2 linked regions of the Lepisosteus oculatus genome follow. The protein of the gene in region 1 interacts with the protein of each later gene in a pairwise test. Links are inferred from orthologs where the notes say so. Each region holds a gene or a part of one and is shown in the gene's direction. Other genes may lie near its edges.

Region 1 (9,799 bases):
CCGTATATCCACAGATTAGACTGCATTAGCCGATCAGAGCAACAGTAACAGGAAAGGAGATATCTGTATAGCAGGCATTAGAATGGTTTCTTATTGTCTTCTTTCTCTTGGTAGTTTTTGTTGCTACAGCTTAAGAGACTCCAGAGAAGAAGGTTTTTGGAATGCATATATAATTATAAATGGTTATTTTTAACATTTCTTGTTTTCGAAATCTAAGCACATCATATTTAAGTAAATGCAGACACCTTCTGTAGTTCTTGTTTTGCTAGAAGTGCATACTGTATCTCATATTGAATCTTGCTGTTATGAAGAAATTTTGAATTTGGTAACGTTAAACAGCATGTTTTGGCTGGACTCCAAGCAATGCTTCACTGGCCTAGTTCTCTTTGACTTTAAAAAGAAAATTGGCTTGAATTAATTTGCCTAATGCTGCCACAGTGACTAGTCCTGATCAGATTTCAGAAGCTTGGAATGCAAGCAATGAAATCAGAGTGTGGCTGTCTGTCAATCCTCTTTGCTCACAGATTCACAGATGGATTTTGGCCATGAGGTGACAGTGATGTGAATATTGCAGGCTATCTGCTAATGAAAAAAAAACCTACAAAAATTGCAATTTCATATGCTTAATATTTTATCTAAATTTAAGTCAAGCTAATTTTTGCATGCCCTCTGCCCTGTCTTTCTCACACCTGAAGAAGGCTCCATGGGCGAAATGTTGTGTTTTCTTTCCTCTTTTTTCAGCATGGAATAAACCTATAACTTGTAAGTTTTGTATGTGCAGTATTGTAAATGAAAAACACATGACAAAATGTTTCATATCTGAATCAAAGCTGAATCACAAGATGTCCAGAGTAGGTAAGTGTTGCACGTTTCTTAAATGAAATTGCTGGAAAATAAAATGAAATAGAAAGTTCTATGAATTGAAGGAGTGATAATATATATATATATTACTTCCTACCACTGTTAACAAAAAGAAGGGCATCTGAAATGGCTCCCTTCTGGCAAGTTCTTACATGAGCAGCATGCACATTGAAGAAGTAATCATACACATCTTATTGTTTTTACTTCTTTTCACAGCTACTTTTCAGAACCTGTGATGTACAGTTCAGTTTTTATAATAAGTATTGACTTAACCATGGCTGCACTGTGATGCCCACCATCAAACAGCACAGGATGAAAAAAATGTTTTACTGATGGCATATTTTTACACATTCCTGAAGTGGGTGTTGCATTCTTTAAAGCGCATGTTGAATTTGGAGCATGGAGAACAAATTTGGTTTCACTGCCAGCCCCATTAACATGTGAAATTGCAGAAAATATTGTTGTTTACTTAGTATGTTACAGCAAAGGAATATGTTACGAAACAAAAACATTAATTGATTCTCCACCATCTCTGTGTAGGCTAATAAGTAAGGTTAAGCTGTGATAGATCTCTATGGAAATTAATTTTCATTTTAAGAAGTTTTGTTTCTACAGACTTCATATTGGGGTTTCATGTCTATTACTAAATTAGAATAATTTTGTGGACCTTGGAGATTATGATGGTAATACAGTACATACAAATTAAATGTATAGTATGTACACAATCATTGTAGACCAATCATAGTACAATCATTTGTAAAGCTACAATACAGATATTTTTATTAATCTTTAGTTTGAGAGTATAGTCTGGATCTCAATCACCTTTCCCAATTTTTCTTCCTTTCTGCTATAGGAATCTTTTATGAAATGTACTGTATGTAAAAATTCAAAATATCTTTTTGAAACATCGAAAGAACTTGAAGTTAATTTTTAGCCATTATTCTAATTTAGACTAGTTATTGCAGAATGGCTTATTTAAATGAAGAGGAAGAATTGATATTCTCTATGAAAAAGCAAGCCCCTTATACCTGTGACTTTAAACAGATTCATTTTGTTGATCTATAATATGATCTAATATGATCTATAATCCACTCAAAGTGCTTTACAGGTAATGGCTTTACAACCAATGTGCAGCATCCACCTGGATGATGCAATGGTAGCCATAGTGCACCAGAACGCCCGTCACACATCAGTTATCAGTGGGGAGGAGAGATGGGGATTATTAGGAGGCCATGATTGGTAAGAGCCAATGGGAAACTTGGGCCAGGACTCTTTTCAAGAAACACCCTGGAATTTTTAATGACCACAGAGAGTCAGGACCTCAGTTTTACGTCTCAACCGAAGGATGGCACCTGTTTACAGTATAGTGTCCCTGTCACTATACTGGGGCATTAGGACCCACATGGACCGCAGGGTGAGCACCTCCTGCTGGAGCCACTAACACCCCTTCCAGCAGCAACCTTAGTTTTTCCCCAGGAGGTCTCCCATCCAGGTACTGGCCAAGCTTACTACTGCTTAGCTTCAGTGCCACTTGTGAATTGAAGACTGATAGGGCTGCTGGTGATCTACACTTTGTTTAATTGCTATGGCTACATCTTTCTTTCTCTTCTCACATTCATCCTCAGTGATGAAACTTTACTTTGCAATTCCAACTTAATATGTGCCTAACTGCCTTCCAGATTTATCTAGTGGGCAGCTTCTCAATATTGTATCTTAATGATACTAAACTTATGCATCATAAGCATTCATAGAATGTTTAAAATGCTTATACTGTGTATGATATTAATATTTTATATTATATTAATATTTTTGAAATAGGGTTGGATGGTGACACAGTGGTTAGCATTGCTGCCTTGCTGTGTTTGGGCTCTGGTTTCAGTTCCTGGTGTGCTATCTGTGTGTAGTTTGTTTGATCTCCCTGTGTTTGTGTTGTTTCCTCCAGGTGTTCTGGGTCTGTCCCATAGTCCAAAGATACACTGGTAGATGTTTTGGATAAATCTGTTGGCAAAAGGATGGATGGATTACTGGGAAATGTCTGTGATGTTGCTCCTAACTTGATTCAGCTTCTCTGAAGTGTTATAGTGTCTTTGCAAAAATTACAGCTCTTTTGCACCACACTCGTGTGGAGAATGGATATGATTCTTATTGGCAGTTCTCAGATAGGTTATATTCCTCAATTGAAATTCTCTCTTTTAGAGTTCTTCAGTTAATAACAAATGCTTGCTTCAATAATTCATCTCCTTGCATAAAAATCCTATTCCCAAAAGGAAGGCAATTATAAGCAGTGCCTAGGGTATTTCATGAGGTTTTAACTTGTTTATTTCACTTTAATTTAGTGTTCCAGTGAAAAGAGGTCAGCTTGGTTTTCGATGAATTTAGTGTCCAAATGCTTAAATCCAAACTAATAAACAAAGAGTGTAAATAGTTACTGGCTTTTGTTTTACCCTCAAATATCTATGACTGTGTACTGCAGTAGAATGAGAAAGTAAAAGCTAGAAAATTAGATAATTAGAACAATACAGTGATAAGCAAATATTATATTGCCATTACCCTCACCTGGAGAAAAAGTATAATCCAGGTGGCCAACATAAGTGGACAGAAATGACTTATTATAACCATTTATGCAGATCTCAATCAATTAAATTATGCATTATATTATAATTCGCATTCTCTTATTTTTGCATAATCACATGAATCTCTCACTAACGAAAACCAACAGGAATAGAATCCAGCAAGGGCCTGTCCTCAATAAAACCAAAAAAAGCTTAAATAAAAAAAGAGTAAATACTATTGCCCATTAGTGTAAAGCAGCATGGAAAGTAGGGTACTGGCCACTTACTGTAAACCACTTTGAAATATATTGTTTTGTTAAGCATATATGGTATATAGCACTGTTGCTCTGCTCTTTATTTTTAAATTCCTGACAAATGTATTTGAAATCAGTCAGATGTGAGCTTTTAAACTTTGTATACAGTATGCTTAATTAAATTGCAAGAGCTACCCTACCAAGGATTAAGCATGCACCCCACTGTACTAAAATGAAAAGGCTTGTTTGAGAGCCACTGTAGTGTGTATGGGACACAGGATGAAACACCAAATGCAGCAGAGGTACAAACGGCAGTATCTGTTAGCTTGGCACCATGCAGGGCCTCATGCAAAAGCCCTAGGTTTCAATCTGGGGATGTGTGAGAAAACTTGACAGTTGCACTGTTGGAATTACAATGTACTGCAATACACCATTGGTTCAGAGCTGTGGTGCAGTGTCTATCACTGCTTTTCCACAGATCATAGTTGCTGGATTCATTTCTGGACTAAGGTGCAGGCATTCAGACTCTGTGTGAGTTTGCATTTCTCCCCTTGTTCATGTGGATTTATTCCAGGTGCTGTGGTTTCCTCCCAGCTCCCAAAAGAAATGGTGGCTAAGTAAACTGGTGTGTCTTAATTGTTCTCTTGTGATGGACTGATCCTAGATGATATCCCATCTTGTATCCTAAACCATTGTGATATACTCTGGATTTTGGGATTCATCTTGGTACACGATATTCACTCTGACATCCACCCCTTAGAAGTATATATTTGCTGGTATTAGTACAAAAGTTTCTTTCTGCTTAATCCATAGATAAAAAAAAAAATTCATTGAAGTCTGAATCGAAAAATATTGGGTTAATTAACAAAAATAGAAAAAAATTAATAACTAATACAGAGTTGCATATATACAGAGGTCAAATGTTAATCGATTCCTTAAATGGAAAGGTTAGTACAGTATACTTAAACATTTCTATATTCTCCTCTGTCAATATTGAATTGTATAAGTGATTAGCATGTAACTGATGTACGTTCTGTCTGAAATGACTGAAAGGGATTACAGAGTTCTTTATATCACTATAAATGGGGATTTTGATTTTATCTGAAATGTAGAACTTGCCATTTGGAAGGCTTGAGAAGTTGAACATGTAACTTGACAGGATGTATTGTACAATTAAAGACACTATATAAAATAAAGGTGATTATTAGAATTTTTCTGCAAAGAACATACAGTATACAGTATTTACTGTATATCTGCCAGGTGCTGGTACAGTAGAATCTCTTTGAGGAAGGGGCCTGCTTCTTGTTAGCTGTGTTAACCTCTCCGAAGCCCTCCTGTCATTCGGATATTTTCAGAAGCAGCAAGTGGATGTCAATGAAATCATGCGCCAACTGTAGCTCGGCTGACAGTTTAAGTAGGCATTGGAGCGCATGACTGGCAAGCGAACAGAGGGAGGAGGGGGGAGGGCAATACCAGCTGAATTTCTTTTAACTGGATTGTGGCTTCCAACTTGTGCTCTGCAGGCGTGGAAAAGTTCATTGTACATCAGCTAAACCTTGTCAGCAAAACAGTTTTCTGTGCTTTAGACTTAGAAAGGTAAGAATGCGTGTTTTGCTATTTCTTTCTCACTAGTTGTTCGTATTTTTGATATCTCATTTAAAACGTCACTGTTTCGAATAGTTTACTAAATCATAAACTTTAAATTTTAATTTCAATGTTTTCTTGGAAGGGAATCAATTGTTTTGATTAATTATTTAAAAGGGTGTGCGGTTGTAGCGAGTGCATTTAAACAGATGACGGACACTTCGTGCCTTAATAAGACAGAATTTATTTAGTTGACCACCGGTATCGGACATTTACCGTGCAAGATGTTTTAGTCTTTTTTAAGCTTTGTCCTTATAAATATGTAATTTATATACATTTAATAGTTGAATTAATTAAGTGGAAAACACCAGCTCGTTTTAATTATGTAATGACAACGAAAGACACCAGGTGTTTTCCTGTACACTGTAGTCATCCCCACTAAATAGAGAATGCGTTTTCCAGGGACATAACATAATTTGTATATTTAAATTTATTTTTGTGCATAACTCATTTGAATGCTTGGACACAGTGTGCAACTATTTTCGACACTTTGCAGTTTATAAAGTTTATAATTTTGCAAGTTTTTTCTGTATTCTGACATGTAAACGTTTTTATAAATATATTTTTGTTCTTAATTTAACTAACCAAATAGAAGTTTCACTTTGATGAGAAACTGTTGGCGTGCTAAATATAGAATACTACGCAAAGCTTGGGTTTATTTTTTGCAATGCAAGGAAGCCTGCAGCCTATTTATAATCTACTAGGAATACCTTGGTCAGGGTCACATACTAAGGTAAAAGTTTCTAAATAGTTTATAAATGGTTCAAAACATTTACAGTAGCTACATGAATCTTTATCTTTGAGAATTAGATTTCAAATTATTGATTAGTTGATGACATTTTTCACTTTGTTCATATTTAATCACTCAGAGTAACCATGTATTCCATTAATATTCTAATTATTAAACTACATACTGTATACATGTTCAGTCGTATTTATCCAATATGATATGTGTAATTAGACTGTTTTATCAAAACCTATTTTAGAAGACTCAGATGTCAAGTAAAATAATTGATTCATCTGTAATATATCTCCTTAAGGTCTGTATTAATGTGGAACTCCAATAATTGTACTGTGTGATGTAGGTAACTGATATAAACCAAAGGGAGTTTTTTGAAAACTGAATTATTATTGTGCAGTGGATAATGTTATGTGTTTTTTGCTTCTTTTTCTAATAGGTAAAATGACACTGCTACAAAATCTTCAGCTGAAAATCGACCCTAAGGATCTTCAGATCAGGACTATAACAGTGGAAAGGTTGCTTGAACCACTGATTATACAGGTATTCAGTTTAATAAACAAGGACATTCATACCAATGGAAAAAACGTTTACCTTTGACTTTGATCAATGAATTTAATCTTAGAGGAAAATTAACAGTTAACAAAATGCTTGCTTTCTAAACAAGTAATCTAACACCAAGCCACCAATTCATTTTTAAGCCTCCAATTATTTCTACCAAATTGCTCCATGAATAAGAAGTTGATTATTATAATTGGAGAAACTGAAGATGGGCATGGCATCTTTAGGAAGCAGCTTAATAATACACTGGTGTACTATTTTCTTGTGAATGTGTGGACTTGTTTTTTCAGGACACTCAGAAAATGAGAAGGTTTTTGTTCTGGTTAGATAAATATGGGTTTCAGAGGATACAAGGCTATCTGAATGAAAAATGACAGTTCAGAAGACGGTCAGTCAACCACAGAATCTGCTATTGAGCAGCTAGAAGGAGAGTTTACAAAAGCTAATAGCCACTGTTCTTGACCAGCTTAGGTGCTACTAGGAGTCTTGGTTACAGGCACAGAGTGATACAGCCCAGACAAGTGCAGATTTTAGACTGAATTTAGCCACAACTATTTTGTTGTTGCTCTGCTCATCCATGCAATCACTTTTATGCTACCTGGTTAGTTGCTATCAGCTCCAATCCTATGCTTCAGAAAAAGTGTCTCAGTACAATAGCTGATCCTGGAGTCGTATTGCAAGTTGTGAGGAACTGCCTATGTAGTCTTGGGCAGAATGAAAAGATATGTCTCTTCAAGCAGCATGTGCCAGTTTTAGAGTTTGCATAGTGGAATGCTAAGCTGTTGAAGGGTTTCTCTGCAGAAAGAGTCATAGGGTTCTCTTAATTTCACACCTGCTATGACTCTTGATCAGAGGTTTACAATCAGCAATTCCCATATAATAATTCGGAGTAAACAGAATGTATTCTTTTACTTACATACAGTATATATTACATATATATATCCCTCACCCCTGGAAGCAAATATCTTGAATGTCATAATGTCTTAGTGTGTCTGTGTTTTTATTCAGTTCAGTTTTATTGCATCCCCCAAAATTCACTTTGGGGCATTTTTTATGTTACTAGACCTATTTGAACAAACCTGTCACAGTCGTCTTCCATCCTCTAGAGGGTGTTCCTACATTTTTTGTTGTGTTCCCAGCTTTATTTGTCCCAGCTATTTCCTATCCCCGATTCCCTATTTAAGCTTGGCGTCTCCGTAGTTCTGGGCTCAGCTTTGGAAGACGGACGCCCAGAAGCCCGCCTACCATCAGGCACAGAAGTGGCCCAAAGGCATAGGCTTCACCATGGCGTCCTGACCTCTGAGTCTGGGGCTCGGAGCGCTTTGCCTCGTTATGATTTTAATCTTCCATGTTCCTGGTTCAACGTTCCCATTCCTGTGTTAATGGTCTTTGTCATGGCTGGACCACGCGGCTTTTGGATTACGGACCGCGCCCCGATTTTCCCTTCTGGACTTCCTTGGACTCGTTAGCCTACTTCATGCCTCCTGTGCACCAGATCACTCAAGTCACCATCCCCTGTCTGTTATCCCGACCTTACCTAGCTGTGCCTTCCCTGATGTCCTTCTCCAGACTCTTATACCATCACATTATACCATCACACATAGGGTCTTCTTACGCAATTCATGAGAGTCAGAACCAGCTCCTGTGACAGAAAGCTGAGTCTTCTACTAAGACCCCATGGAGTTCCCATCAGGATTTTTTTTCCTTTTTTTTGATGTCTGGACTCTGATTGTTTTGATTTGGAGAGTCTGCCTGTTTTGGATTTTTTTTTTTCTCTTTCTTGGTATTTTTTCAAAGAGAGGACTGCCCGCCCTGTATATATTCACGTTTTTTGGTGACTTTCTAGTTGTAAATAGTCATTATCGTATATAGTAACCTTTCCTAGTTGTACAGTATATAGTCTTGGCTTTTAGCTGTCCCTGGTTTAGTCACCTTCGTTTTTATTTTATAAGGGCACCCGGAGTCTGCCCTTCTAGGAGGGGGTACTGTTACAGTTACCATCCTCTCCTACAGAGGACTCTCCAACCTCCTCATGTTAGTCTTTATTAGCTACATTATTTCCTGGTGTACTGTGCTTTAGCTTCCCTGTTAAAGTTTACTCCTTCCTGTCTTTGGGGCTCATCTTTGGAACATGGAAGCCCGATGGCCTGCCTACCACCAGGCTTCAGGAGGAGGCACAGCCCTGGGCTTAGAACAGAGCTCTGTATTTCCTGGATTCTTGTCTTGTCATGTGTTCCTGTTTGTCTGCATCTCCTGATGGATCTCCCGGCAATGGACTTATGGACTGCTTCCTGACTCCCCCTTGAACCTCCTTGGATATGTTTGTCTTCGGATATTCCCCTACTTCACTGTGAGCACCAATTAACCCTGTGTGTCTCCCCTGAACCCTGTCTATGCTCCTTTTTCCTCGCATAGGGTCTAAATATCATCCTACACGGGAGGGCAACCCGGCTTTTGCAGCGGAGCTAGTTCAGATACGGTGACATCATCACCCTCACTGCGCATAGCAGGGACCTCAGCTGCCTGGGTTGAGGGAGGTTTCCTTTAGCTCATGTGGCTGGTTCCCTGTTGCGTTACTCCAGAGACCCGGGTTCGCGCCCCAGGTGTTGTGGGATGAAACGGGTTGGAGGAGGGCACGAGACTGCACAGAACCGCAACGGTCACACTTTCATGACAAAAACGAAGTACTGTATGTGAGCCTGGTCAATACCTGGGTGAGAGACCTCCTGGGAAAGCTAAGGTTGCTGCTGGAAGAGTTATTAGAGGGGCCAGTAGGGGGTGCTCACCCTGTGGTCTGTGTGGGTCCTAATGCCCCAATATAGTAATGGAGATGCTATACTGTAAACAGGTGCTGTCCTTTGGATGAGATTTAAAACTGAGGTCCTGATGCTTTGTGGTCATTAAAAATCCCTGTGTTCTTCTCCAAAAGAGTAGGGGTATTACCCTGGCATCCTGGCCAAATTTCCTCTTGGCTTTTACATATCATGTCCTCCTAATAATTGGGCTAGGGGTGCTGACATACAGTATCATCCAGGTAGATGCTGCACATTGGTGGTGGTTGAAGGGAGTTCCTGTTATCTGTAAAGTGCTTTGAGTGGAGTGTCCAGAAAAGCACTTTATAAGTCTAAGGAATTATTATTCATTTTAATGACTTCATTTTATTTATTATGAAAATTTTATTCACAGGC
Region 2 (10,113 bases), on another chromosome or scaffold:
TGTCTCACAAGAAGAGCTCTGCTGGGGGGTGAGAGACTGGGTGAGAGACTGGTGAGAGAGCTGGTTGGCACTGTCCTCTGACCCAGGGGCTGGGCTGAGCTCAAGGCCATCGACAGATTGTATAATAACTTATCACAGTCGGTGGTGCAGTATCAGAGGACAATGGTAACATAACATTACTTAGCCCTATACAATTTCTTGCATTAGGAATTGCAGACACAGACAGGGAGAGAGAAGCTGGGGGTCAGAGCGCAGGGTCAGCCATTGTACAGCACCCCTGGAGCAGTTGGGGTTAAGGGCCTTGCTGGAGTAGGATTCCTCTGCCATCTGTGGGATTTGAACCAGCAACCTTCCAGCCACAGGCGCAGATCCTGAGCCACAGAGCCACCGCTCTGCCCTGCCTCCAGTCTCTACCTGGACTCCCCACCTTGGGCAGGGAGGCTGTTGGTGACATACAGCTCTGCCTTTGCCAATGATGTCAGAGAGTCTGCTAGTCACGAGAGAGTCTGTCAGTGATGTCATAGTGACTGTTAGTCATAAAAGCGAGTCTCCAGTGATGTCATAGTGACTGTTAGTCATAAGAGAGAGTCTCCCAGTGATGTCTGAGCAGGGCTGCCACAGGGAAAGGCGTGAGACAGCTTGTGTGTGGGGGGTGGGGTGGGAGGAGCTGCCTGTGCACACTGATAAGAGGGGCACAGGGCTGAACAGCCACACTGTGTGATCAAATGGCACACCTGTGCAGCACACAATGGGCTTTATTCCAGCTGCTGTGCCAGTGTGAGAAGCCAGTCAGCACAAAGACAGGATACCAACTGCGTTGATTCAAACCAGGAAAAGGAGGAAAACTAAGAGAGAAAGGGCACTTTTAAGTAGACCACGGGTATGTTTTGAAACACAGTGGCACAGTTCACTTTTCAGGGTTGTGTCAAAAGCTGGACCTCAAAAAGTTCTCTGCAATTTTCGATAATAATAATAATAATAATAATTGCTTACACTTATATAGCGCTTTTCTGGACACTCCACTCAGAGCGCTTTACAGGTAATGGGGATCCCCTCCACCCCCACCAGTGTGCACCTCTTCCAGCAGCAGCCTCAGCTTTCCCAGGAGTCTCCCATCCAGGTACTGACCAGGCTCCAGTGGGGCTGCCAGTTTTTGAGTTGCAGAGTGATGTGGCTGCTGGCCATGTCGATGTGCAAGGCAAGGCCTAGTAATGATCAGAATCCACCCTGCGTCACTTGTCCCCACGACAAATCGAGTTTCTGGAGGCCTGTCACAGGTACTGCAGAGGCTGAATGAGCGTTGAGAGACTCTTGATTTTGAGGCCCCTCCCGCCCTGGCTCTGATCCTTCCTTCTGGAGGAGGAGTGAGCTGGGGGGACAGGTCAGCGGGCACAGCCTCCATCTGGGGCAGCTTTCCTGGGGGGCATTTTCCCAGCGAGTGGGAACAGGAGGCACGAGGCAAAACCTTTGGGCTGAATAAAAATCCCAAAAGGCTCGGGACCAGTCGTCCTGCCTGGCTCTTCAACACAACCCCAGTTGCCTTCTGGCATCCAAAATTAAGGTGGCTTGTTCTAGCTTGGGGTACGCACAGGGCCGTAGTCAATCAAGGAAGCGCCAAAGGATTTTCTGGGCAGAGATGGAAGTAGATGCTGGATGACAGGACAGCGCGATCGAGAAACAAGACGAGCGATCCCACTTACAGTGAGAGATTTCGCTCACACAGCAGAACTCTCTTATGACTAGCAGACTCTCTGACATCACCGGCAGACTCTCTGACATCACTGGCAGACTCTCTCTCGTGACTAGCAGACTCTCTGACATCATTGGCAGGCTCTCTGACATCACCGGCAGGCTCTCTGACATCACCGGCAGGCTCTCTCTTGCCATGGTAATTATACAGAGCAGGTTTTTCAAGCTCCCCCTGCCCACAGCCCCCAGGAGCTGTGACACTGCCTTCATGCTGCGTCTTCTGCTCTTGCCTCTTGCCTCCCGCAGTTTCGCTCAGGCCTACTCGTTGCTGTGCCACATTCACGAGGGAGTTACTGTGCGAAAGTACTCAAGCACCTCACTTCATACCAGTGAAACCACACACTGCTGCCTGTTCGTAAGGGGACAGCAGACAAAAAAACAATATAGAGTTATCCTGAAGAAAAGGTGTGAATTGTGATGTTGGTGACTTGTTAAAACTGCCCTTTTTGCAGGTCCCTGGGCAGCTGTAACGTTAGATGCTGCTGGGATACCAGGTCCCTCTTGCTGGTTTATAGATCTGTCACCAGTAATCATTCTTCCACTGATTAACCGGGGAGTCTGGTCGTGTCCAAGACCACTCATAATAAGACTGCTTGTCACAGTGTCGGTTCTACCTCTTTCTCTGAATCACCACTTGATGACCCACTAGAGGCTGTCTGGATCCGAGGGAGAGCAACTGTTTGAAACAGAAGGCTCAGGTCTTTATTTTCGAGCTCCAGCTGGTGAAACATTCGGGCGTAATCCTGAGACAGCAATGACTCCTCCAGTGTATGGACGACCTGTTACGCTGTGCACTGGACGCATCTAGAAGCTACCGTGAGCTTGGCTGGCTTTCGGGTTTAATGATCATGTCAGTGTCCGGCGCTGCAGAATTTGTACGGCTCTACTTTCACCTGGGGTTTTAGTCCGAGTGAAATCTTGCCATTTTTAGCAAACCTGAACAGGATCATTATAATCATGGGGAGCGGTTTTGTGGGATGCAGAGATCAAAGCGACGATAGGTCCGTTATGAACAGTTACACGTGCAAACAGTGTGCTTAAAACTGTTAAATCCGCACGTGGCCATAAAGGTACTGTATGACAATTGTGCTATCGCGTGATCACATGAAGTACGCGAGAATTACTATCTCGTAATGACGACATCAGGTTCTCCTAATTGCGAGGACAGGGTGAGGATCTTGTTTTTGGGTCCTCGGTGGCAGCAATGCGCTTCCGTTTTAAAGCCCACACTCCCTCCTACCCTCTTTTTAATTTCATCGGAGTTCGTGTGGGATCAATGCGTCGTCATCTAGGGGAATAAAAAAAAATGAGGTCGCAGGTGCGAAACGGCAGGAGAACGAGCGAGAGGGGGGTGTCGGCGGGCTGGCGGTCAGTGAATGACCTCTCCTCGTTTGGAGCCAGTCCTGGCTTCTGAATCCTATTCAACAGCGGGGTCGAACTTCAACACAGTTAGATGAACTAAAACCGTTTTCGATAGTGGCATATCCACAAAGTTTGGGAACATTTTTTGGATTATTCTTGGACGTAAACGCAGTAAACTTTCCTAACGAGGCTAGATATCTGACGCCTTTGGGGTTTTTTATTTTTTATTTTTTTACACATAAATATTCAATCACTGTAAAATGTAAGTAGGGGGAGCTTGAAGTCCCCGGTCGTGCATTCATTAGGACTGCTGTCGCCGAGCCGCTGCGCATCTGAGCGCGGAGCGCAGCTCTCCGGAGACGCCTGCATGGCCGGCTCGGAAACTCCCAGGAGCCGAACCGAACCGCGACGTCCGCCCCGGGCCACCGCTCGTCATTCACACAGCCGGGGGGGTCACGGACACGTCCAGTCCAGAACCGCCCTGGCTTCAAAAGGTTCCGACGCGCCACCGTGCCGTTTTCGATTCCGAGCAACGTTTGTTCGGCGAAACGCCCCCCGTTCACGGTCGTTTGTTTTTTTTTTTGTTAAAGGTGTAATTGGCAAGAGTGTCGATTCTCCGGAGAAAGCAGAAGTCGGGGTGGGGCTGAGAACAGAGCAGAGAGGCCACAGAGCACACGAAGTACGGCCGCAGTAGGCATCTGTCCATCCGGCCATTGTCGAAGCCCTTTCTCCAGTTCAGGGTCGCTGGGCCTGACCCTATCCCAGCAGGCAACGGGCGCCAGGCAGGGTACATCCTGGACGGGACGCCAGGCCATCACAGGGCACACGCACACACAAACACACCCAAAGAAGGCTCCACAGCCGAAACGTCGTGTTTCTTTTCTTCTCTTTTAGGCAGGGAATAAACCTGTACCTGTTCCTTTTGCCGTCTAAGCGCGCTGACGCGGCTCCCAACGGGAACTACTTGAGACACTAAAACACTTGCACCTAGGGTCAATTTCCCCCAGAAACAACTGACCTGCCGATGCGATGTCGGCCTTTTGGCTAAGATCAAGTGTGTGTTTCTGGATTGTGGGAGGAAACCCCACCCTGACAGCACCACAGGTCCGGTTCCGAACCCGAGGCAGAAGTGCTAACCGCCGCGCCAGTTAAATCGCATTAAAAACGCGTTCTCAATTGGGAATAACCCAGAGACCCATTCCCACAGCTTGGCATTTTACTAAAGCAACTAGAAGAAAACGCTTTGCTGCAGACGAAAAATAAAGAATTGTTTTTTTTTATTTCAAACAGTTGTTCTGCCTTGGTCTTCCAAACAGCCTCTAGCGGGTTATCAAGCGACGATTCACAGAAAGGTGTAGGAATGACGCTGTGACAATCTCATTACGAGCGGTGCTGGAGACGACGGGACTCTAAAATGCAGTCATCGGGCACCGGTGACAGATTTGTAAAGAGGCGAAACTGTTTAAAAACAAGTTCAGTTCGTGGGTTTGGAAAATAAATCAATGTTTCAATCATCTTTAATTAATAGAGGGCTCCACTGGAGTCCAACACCGCTTTAGTCCAGATAAACGTTTTAGGACAGTACTATAATTTTAATACCTTCGGAGAAAATATTCTCAGACGAAGGAGCAACTATTAGTAACATCAGATTAAATATTAAGGAGACTCGCACTCGCATAAAAGATGTAGAACTACTAACATAGATCAAAGTTTCTTAAATAGCGTTACTAAAGGTTGATTCTACAGTCAAAAATCAATAAATCAGTTGATAAAATGTTGTTAAATACATCAAGCTGTATTGTATATAATGCGTGGTACTAACAAAGTGGATCCAGGATGCACGTTTATCTTAAAAAATGTTTTTCTGTCAACGTAATATCAATAGGACTGCTGTTTGTGTGCCGAGCTGGTGTGTGGTAATTATATTTTCTGCTCTACACACCGTAGTTCAGCGCGGTGCGGTCGGATTTAATTCGTAGTTCATTGTTGCCAGTGGAGAAGAGTAGTTTAGGAAGAGACAGCTGAGTGCGTTAGGCAGAAGTAAAACAACAAATCCGACGTGTTGATTATTCGGCATCTCGCTGGCGCGCCGAACTGTCCGGTCCACCTTAAGGCCTCCGGGGGGAGAGGGGGTCTCGGGGCCAGCGCGGGGGGCGGGCTCACGGGCTCACCTGGATAAGGTAATGCAGGAAGCCCCGCCCCCCCCGCCCTCAGACGACTGCCTTACTGATGTTCGTCCACCGGGAGCGAGTGCAGTTCAGATCGAAGCGAATGGGATAAAAATAGGTCCGAGGACACTAGAGACGTTGCTAGCACCGAGGAGCGCAGAAGATTAATAATTTTTTTTCTTCCTAAAAAAGCGCCCAGCCGAGGCGAGTTGCTCGAGTTGAGCAACGTCTGTGCTCGTTAAATCCAGTCCGGTGGCGTTCGCCTGCAGCGCGGTTTCCTGTTCGTGCGCCGTGCCGAGCAACTTTACTTTTCGCCAGCCCTTAACACCTTCCCTGCCGACATCGTCGTCAAGGAGAAGAAGCAGGAGGACAAAGAGGCGCCCCTCTCTGACTCCACGGAGGGATTTATCTTATTTCGGAACTCGGGGGAGCAGCGCCTCCGGACCCGGCCATGAGCGTCATTTCTGAGACCGTCTTTCTGTCCACTGTGCAGCCCACCAACACGCCCGTCAGCAGCTATGCCGTCCCCTCGGAGATCCAGCTGGAGCGCGGCGGCACCCGCTCGGACGAGCTCTCCCGGTCCCGCCGGGTCCAGCAGCAGGTCCAGCTGCGCCTGGCCGAGAAGTCCTCCGGGTCCGTGTCGAGGGCGGTGAACGGGACAGCCCACAGCACCGCCTCAGGTGAGACTCGCCAGTCCTTCCTCGCCGACGGCAGCTGCTGCGCTGTGGTCTTGTGTCGCGTTTATTGTGTGTTTCTCTTGCGCACCTGGTGTGTGTGTCACCTCCCCAACCCCAAGTACGTGCGGACAGCCTTAAACCCATGAAGGAGGCTTTGATTTAGTGTGGCCGGAGACCCTTCCTGACTTTTCTTTTTTTTTTTAATACTCGCTGTCTTCGGTTCTGCCTCTTCAGAAACTGGCCCGCTCCGTTCACGGCGAGAGCCGTGGGTGAGATGTAGCTGTCACAAAACGGTAGTATCGAGGCGAAAGTGATCGCTTGTTGTGTGCCGAGCTGGCTTGTGGTAATTATGTTCCATGGAGTTTCCTGCGCTATACTATAGATCAGTACGGTCTGATCTAATGAGAACGGTAAACCCTGGTACTGCTGTATGTGTTGTATATATTGCGGGAGGGTAATGGCTTATTAACACCTAAGTTTCTTTAAGGTGTTATGATTTGTTTTTCACTCATTTATAACGCACCTTTCGCGCATAAGACTCAAAGTGCTTTTTTAGAAATAAAATAGAATAGGTTAACAAGATGGAGAAGAGCCAGTAAGCAGGTATAAGTGCAGATATTTTGAAAAAAATCAAAGTAATTAAAAAAAAGTTACACATGCAAACAGTAGGAAATCCATTAAGCAACAAAATTTATCTTGTAAAAGTGAGTCATCGGCATGGAGCTCAAACTAGCCAGCGAGCTTGAGTTCTTGGCAGAGCAGTTTCAAGGTTGTGGGGAGCGGCCCCACCCTCTCTCTTTAACCAGACCTTCGGTGTGGGGGCTGCTGGACACAACATCTCTGCAAGGCTGCCCGCGGCTTGGAATGCCAGCAAAATCATTTCAAGCTCAACTGCTCAATTAACCAGGGGAAGCCAGTGCAGAGTAGCCAGGACAGGAGTCCTTTTCTTGTTTGTCGGGTAGTAATAATAATTGCTTACACTTATAGAGCGCTTTTCTGGACACCCCACTCAGAGCTCTTTACAGGCCCCACCTGGATGATGCTCCAGTCCTCTAACTCAAACCAGCTCTCAGTGGGGAGGAGAGCAGAGTGATGAGGCCAGTTCAGAGAGGGGGGTTATTAGGAGGCCATGATTGATAAGGGCCAATGGGAAATTTGGCTACTCTTTTCGAGAAACACCCTGGGATTTTTAATGATCACAGTCAGGACCTCGGTTTTACGTCTCATTCTAGGGACGGCGCCTTTTTACAGTACAGTGTCCCCGTCACTATACTGGGGCATTAGGACCCACACAGACCGCAGGGTGAGCGCCCCCTGCTGGCCCCACTGACACCTCTTCCAGCAGCAGCCTCAGCTTTCCCAGGAGTCTCCCATCCAGGTACTGGCCAGGCTCACACTGCTGAGCTCCAGTGGGGCTGCCAGCTGGGAGCTGCAGGGTGATTTGGCTGCTGGAGTACCATAATTGCAACCAACCCGTATTGTTTGTAGAAAGCCTTAAATTGCCATGTTGTACTCTATTGTTTAGTGCCCTTTGTGTGTTCAGATGTGAAGCCCAGGCTCTGCCTCGCTGCAGGCTTTTTTCCTCTGCTGCTCCGTGCTGCAGACAGGCTGATGCTCGGGGTGTGAATTGCCGTGCAAGTCGGGTCAGGACAGCAACCAGAAAAAATTCCCCTGAATCGCCCTGAACGTGCAGAGCACAGAGACAGGGCCGAACCCCTCCCCCCCCGGGCCACGCACGAGGCAAGTGCACAGCAGACGATGAGAGAGGGCAGAGTGCTGGAAAACCTCCCGTAGGCCAGGGGACGGATAAAGCGCACCTGGGCCCACAGGGATCTTGTTCCCTTTGACCCACTGCGGCGTGCAGATCTCGCGCGGGACGTCCCGGCGGTGGGCTCTGGGGTGAGCCCTGTGCGGGTTCGCCGACGTTCTGCAAGTGTTCCCCTGTTCCCCTGGGGCTCTGGAGCAGCAGAGCAATGCTTTGTGATGTTTGTGGCGAGCTTGCGTCCTGTTCTGCCTGATCTTATTGAGCAATGACTTAGTCAAAACACCACCCCCCCACCCCACCCCACCCCTCCAGTGTTCTCGCTTGACGAGACGGTGCAGTTTGTTTTGCCCCGGGGGGAATATCTCTGCGCGCGGGGCGAGACAGTGCCGCTGGAGCTACGGGCGTGAGCTCTCTGCTGGTCGCTGCTCGTGGTGGTGGTGGGGGGGGGTGTCATTCGCTGTTGCTCCTGTGAGGGCCTTGGGAATGGCTCTCCGCGCCCGACACGTCCTGCCCGGGACGCTGAGCACATGCCCTGAAAGGAGCAGGTCCCGTGGGTGGGAGGGCGGGCCTGGGTGTGTCAAGGGGGAGTTTGTGACAAAGTCTGCTGGTCTGCAGAAAGGGTGAGTCACGCTCCTGATTGCTGCAGCTCCCATCCGCTCGGGCTGTGCGAGTGGACGTGATGTACCTCTTATCTGCGGACGCGTGGTTCCTTCACGCCGAAGGCTACCAGACTGGATGTTTTGTGTCTTCGTAACAAGGCGGCGGCGGCTGCTTCTGCCGTGGGTGGTGCTGCGCCCTTTTCACTTCCACCTCGACGCAGTGGTGAGCTGAGAGTGTTGCCAAAACAAATGCGTAGCCCCCTCTGGATCTGCTGGCTTCTGCTGGCAGCAGGCATCACAGGGCCGCAGGTCAGTAATCCTGGTGCAGCCAGGTCTCGGGGCGCCACAGCGCTGCAGGTCACTAATCCTGGTGCAGCCAGGTCTCAGGGCGCCACAGCGCTGCAGGTCACTAATCCTGGTGCAGTCAGGGCTCAGGGTGCCACAGCGCTGCAGGTCACTAATCCTGGTGCAGTCAGGGCTCAGGGTGCTCCAGTGCTCCAGAGCTGCAGGTCTCTAATCCTGGTGCAGTCAGGCCTCAGGGTGCCACAGCGCTGCAGGTCACTAATCCTGGTGCAGTTTGGGGTTTAGGGTGCTACAGAGCTGCAGGTCACTAATCCTGGTGCAGTCAGGCCTCAGGGTGCCACAGCACTGCAGGTCACTAATCCTGGTGCAGTTTGGGGTTTAGGGTGCTACAGAGCTGCAGGTCACTCATCCTGGTGCAGTCAGGTCTCAGGGTGCCACAGCGCTGCAGGTCACTCATCCTGGTGCAGCCAGGTCTCAGGGTGCCACAGAGCTGCAGGTCACTAATCCTGGTGCAGTCAAGGCTCAGGGCATCACAGGGCTGCAGGTCACTAATCCTGGTGCAGTCAGGGCTCAGGGTGCTACAGAGCTGCAGGTCACTCATCCTGGTGCAGCCAGGTCTCGGGGTGCTACATGTCAGGATGTGACAGTCAAGGGTGGGTGATGGACTCTGGGGCTCTGATGTGGCCTGACCTGGCCCAGTCCAGCCCAGTGGGGTGCCTGGAATGAACAGATCCATGACCAGTCCCAGTTCCTAATACCTCAGCTGGTGTGGGGTTTTCACACCGGCCCCTGCTTCGTGCTCCAGTCAATCGACCAGTTATCGGCCAGTAATTGACGTACAGTGGTATGGATTGACAGTTACTAGAGTGAATCTGTGTGCTAGAACAACACTGTTAAAGGACGCTGTGACCTTGACTCCAGTCAAACACGGGGGGGAATGTAGAGATAGTGAAAATTACACGTTACACCTACGTTTGTAAATATGATTCCCATAAAGGCCGGTAATATATCATGAAGTGAAAGTTTTCTACGTCCTTTTTTTTTTTTAAAAAAAAGAATCCTTCCTCATTTTCCGAAGTGTGAGAAAATGCCTTGCGTGCCTGAACTGTTGCAGGCGACTCCGCCCGGGGTGGTGTGGCGGGTAGGCGCGTCCCTTAGCCAGACAGATAACATCACAGGCGGGGAGTTCTGGAGAAACAACGTGACATGCAGGCCGTGTTCCGCCCTTTCGCGGAGAGTCGATCGTTCTCCAGGATGAACGAGACTACCCGTTAGTCCGCCTGGAAAGCCAGGCGAGAGAGAGATCGTGGGATTGTTCCTTTTCGGTCCTGAGTGTCGGGAACGGTTTGTCTAACTCGGCGCGTGTTGAAAACGAGCGTCGCCAATTAGCAAAAACGCCGCAGAAGCCCCGAGATCTGGCAGGCACTCCGCAGTAAATTCTTAATCGGGGATGAATCCCATTATGATCCCACGAACCCGCACGCGGCGCG

The links.
Region 2: the proteins of catenin alpha-3 (region 1) and plakophilin-3 interact in a two-hybrid assay, tested with the Homo sapiens proteins (2 studies listed by IntAct). The link is inferred for Lepisosteus oculatus from reciprocal best matches to the Homo sapiens genes CTNNA3 and PKP3.

The regions. Positions count from the first base shown.
Region 1 is NC_090699.1:34,544,511-34,554,309, forward strand, and holds the start of catenin alpha-3, read left to right. Parts: upstream 1-5,122; 5' UTR 5,123-5,263; intron 5,264-6,489; 5' UTR 6,490-6,494; coding exon 6,495-6,593; intron 6,594-9,799. UniProt on the Homo sapiens protein: May be involved in formation of stretch-resistant cell-cell adhesion complexes.
Region 2 is NC_090716.1:2,056,088-2,066,200, forward strand, and holds the start of plakophilin-3, read left to right. Parts: upstream 1-5,319; 5' UTR 5,320-5,730; coding exon 5,731-5,959; intron 5,960-8,537; exon of another isoform or gene 8,538-8,629; intron 8,630-10,113. UniProt on the Homo sapiens protein: A component of desmosome cell-cell junctions which are required for positive regulation of cellular adhesion. Required for the localization of DSG2, DSP and PKP2 to mature desmosome junctions.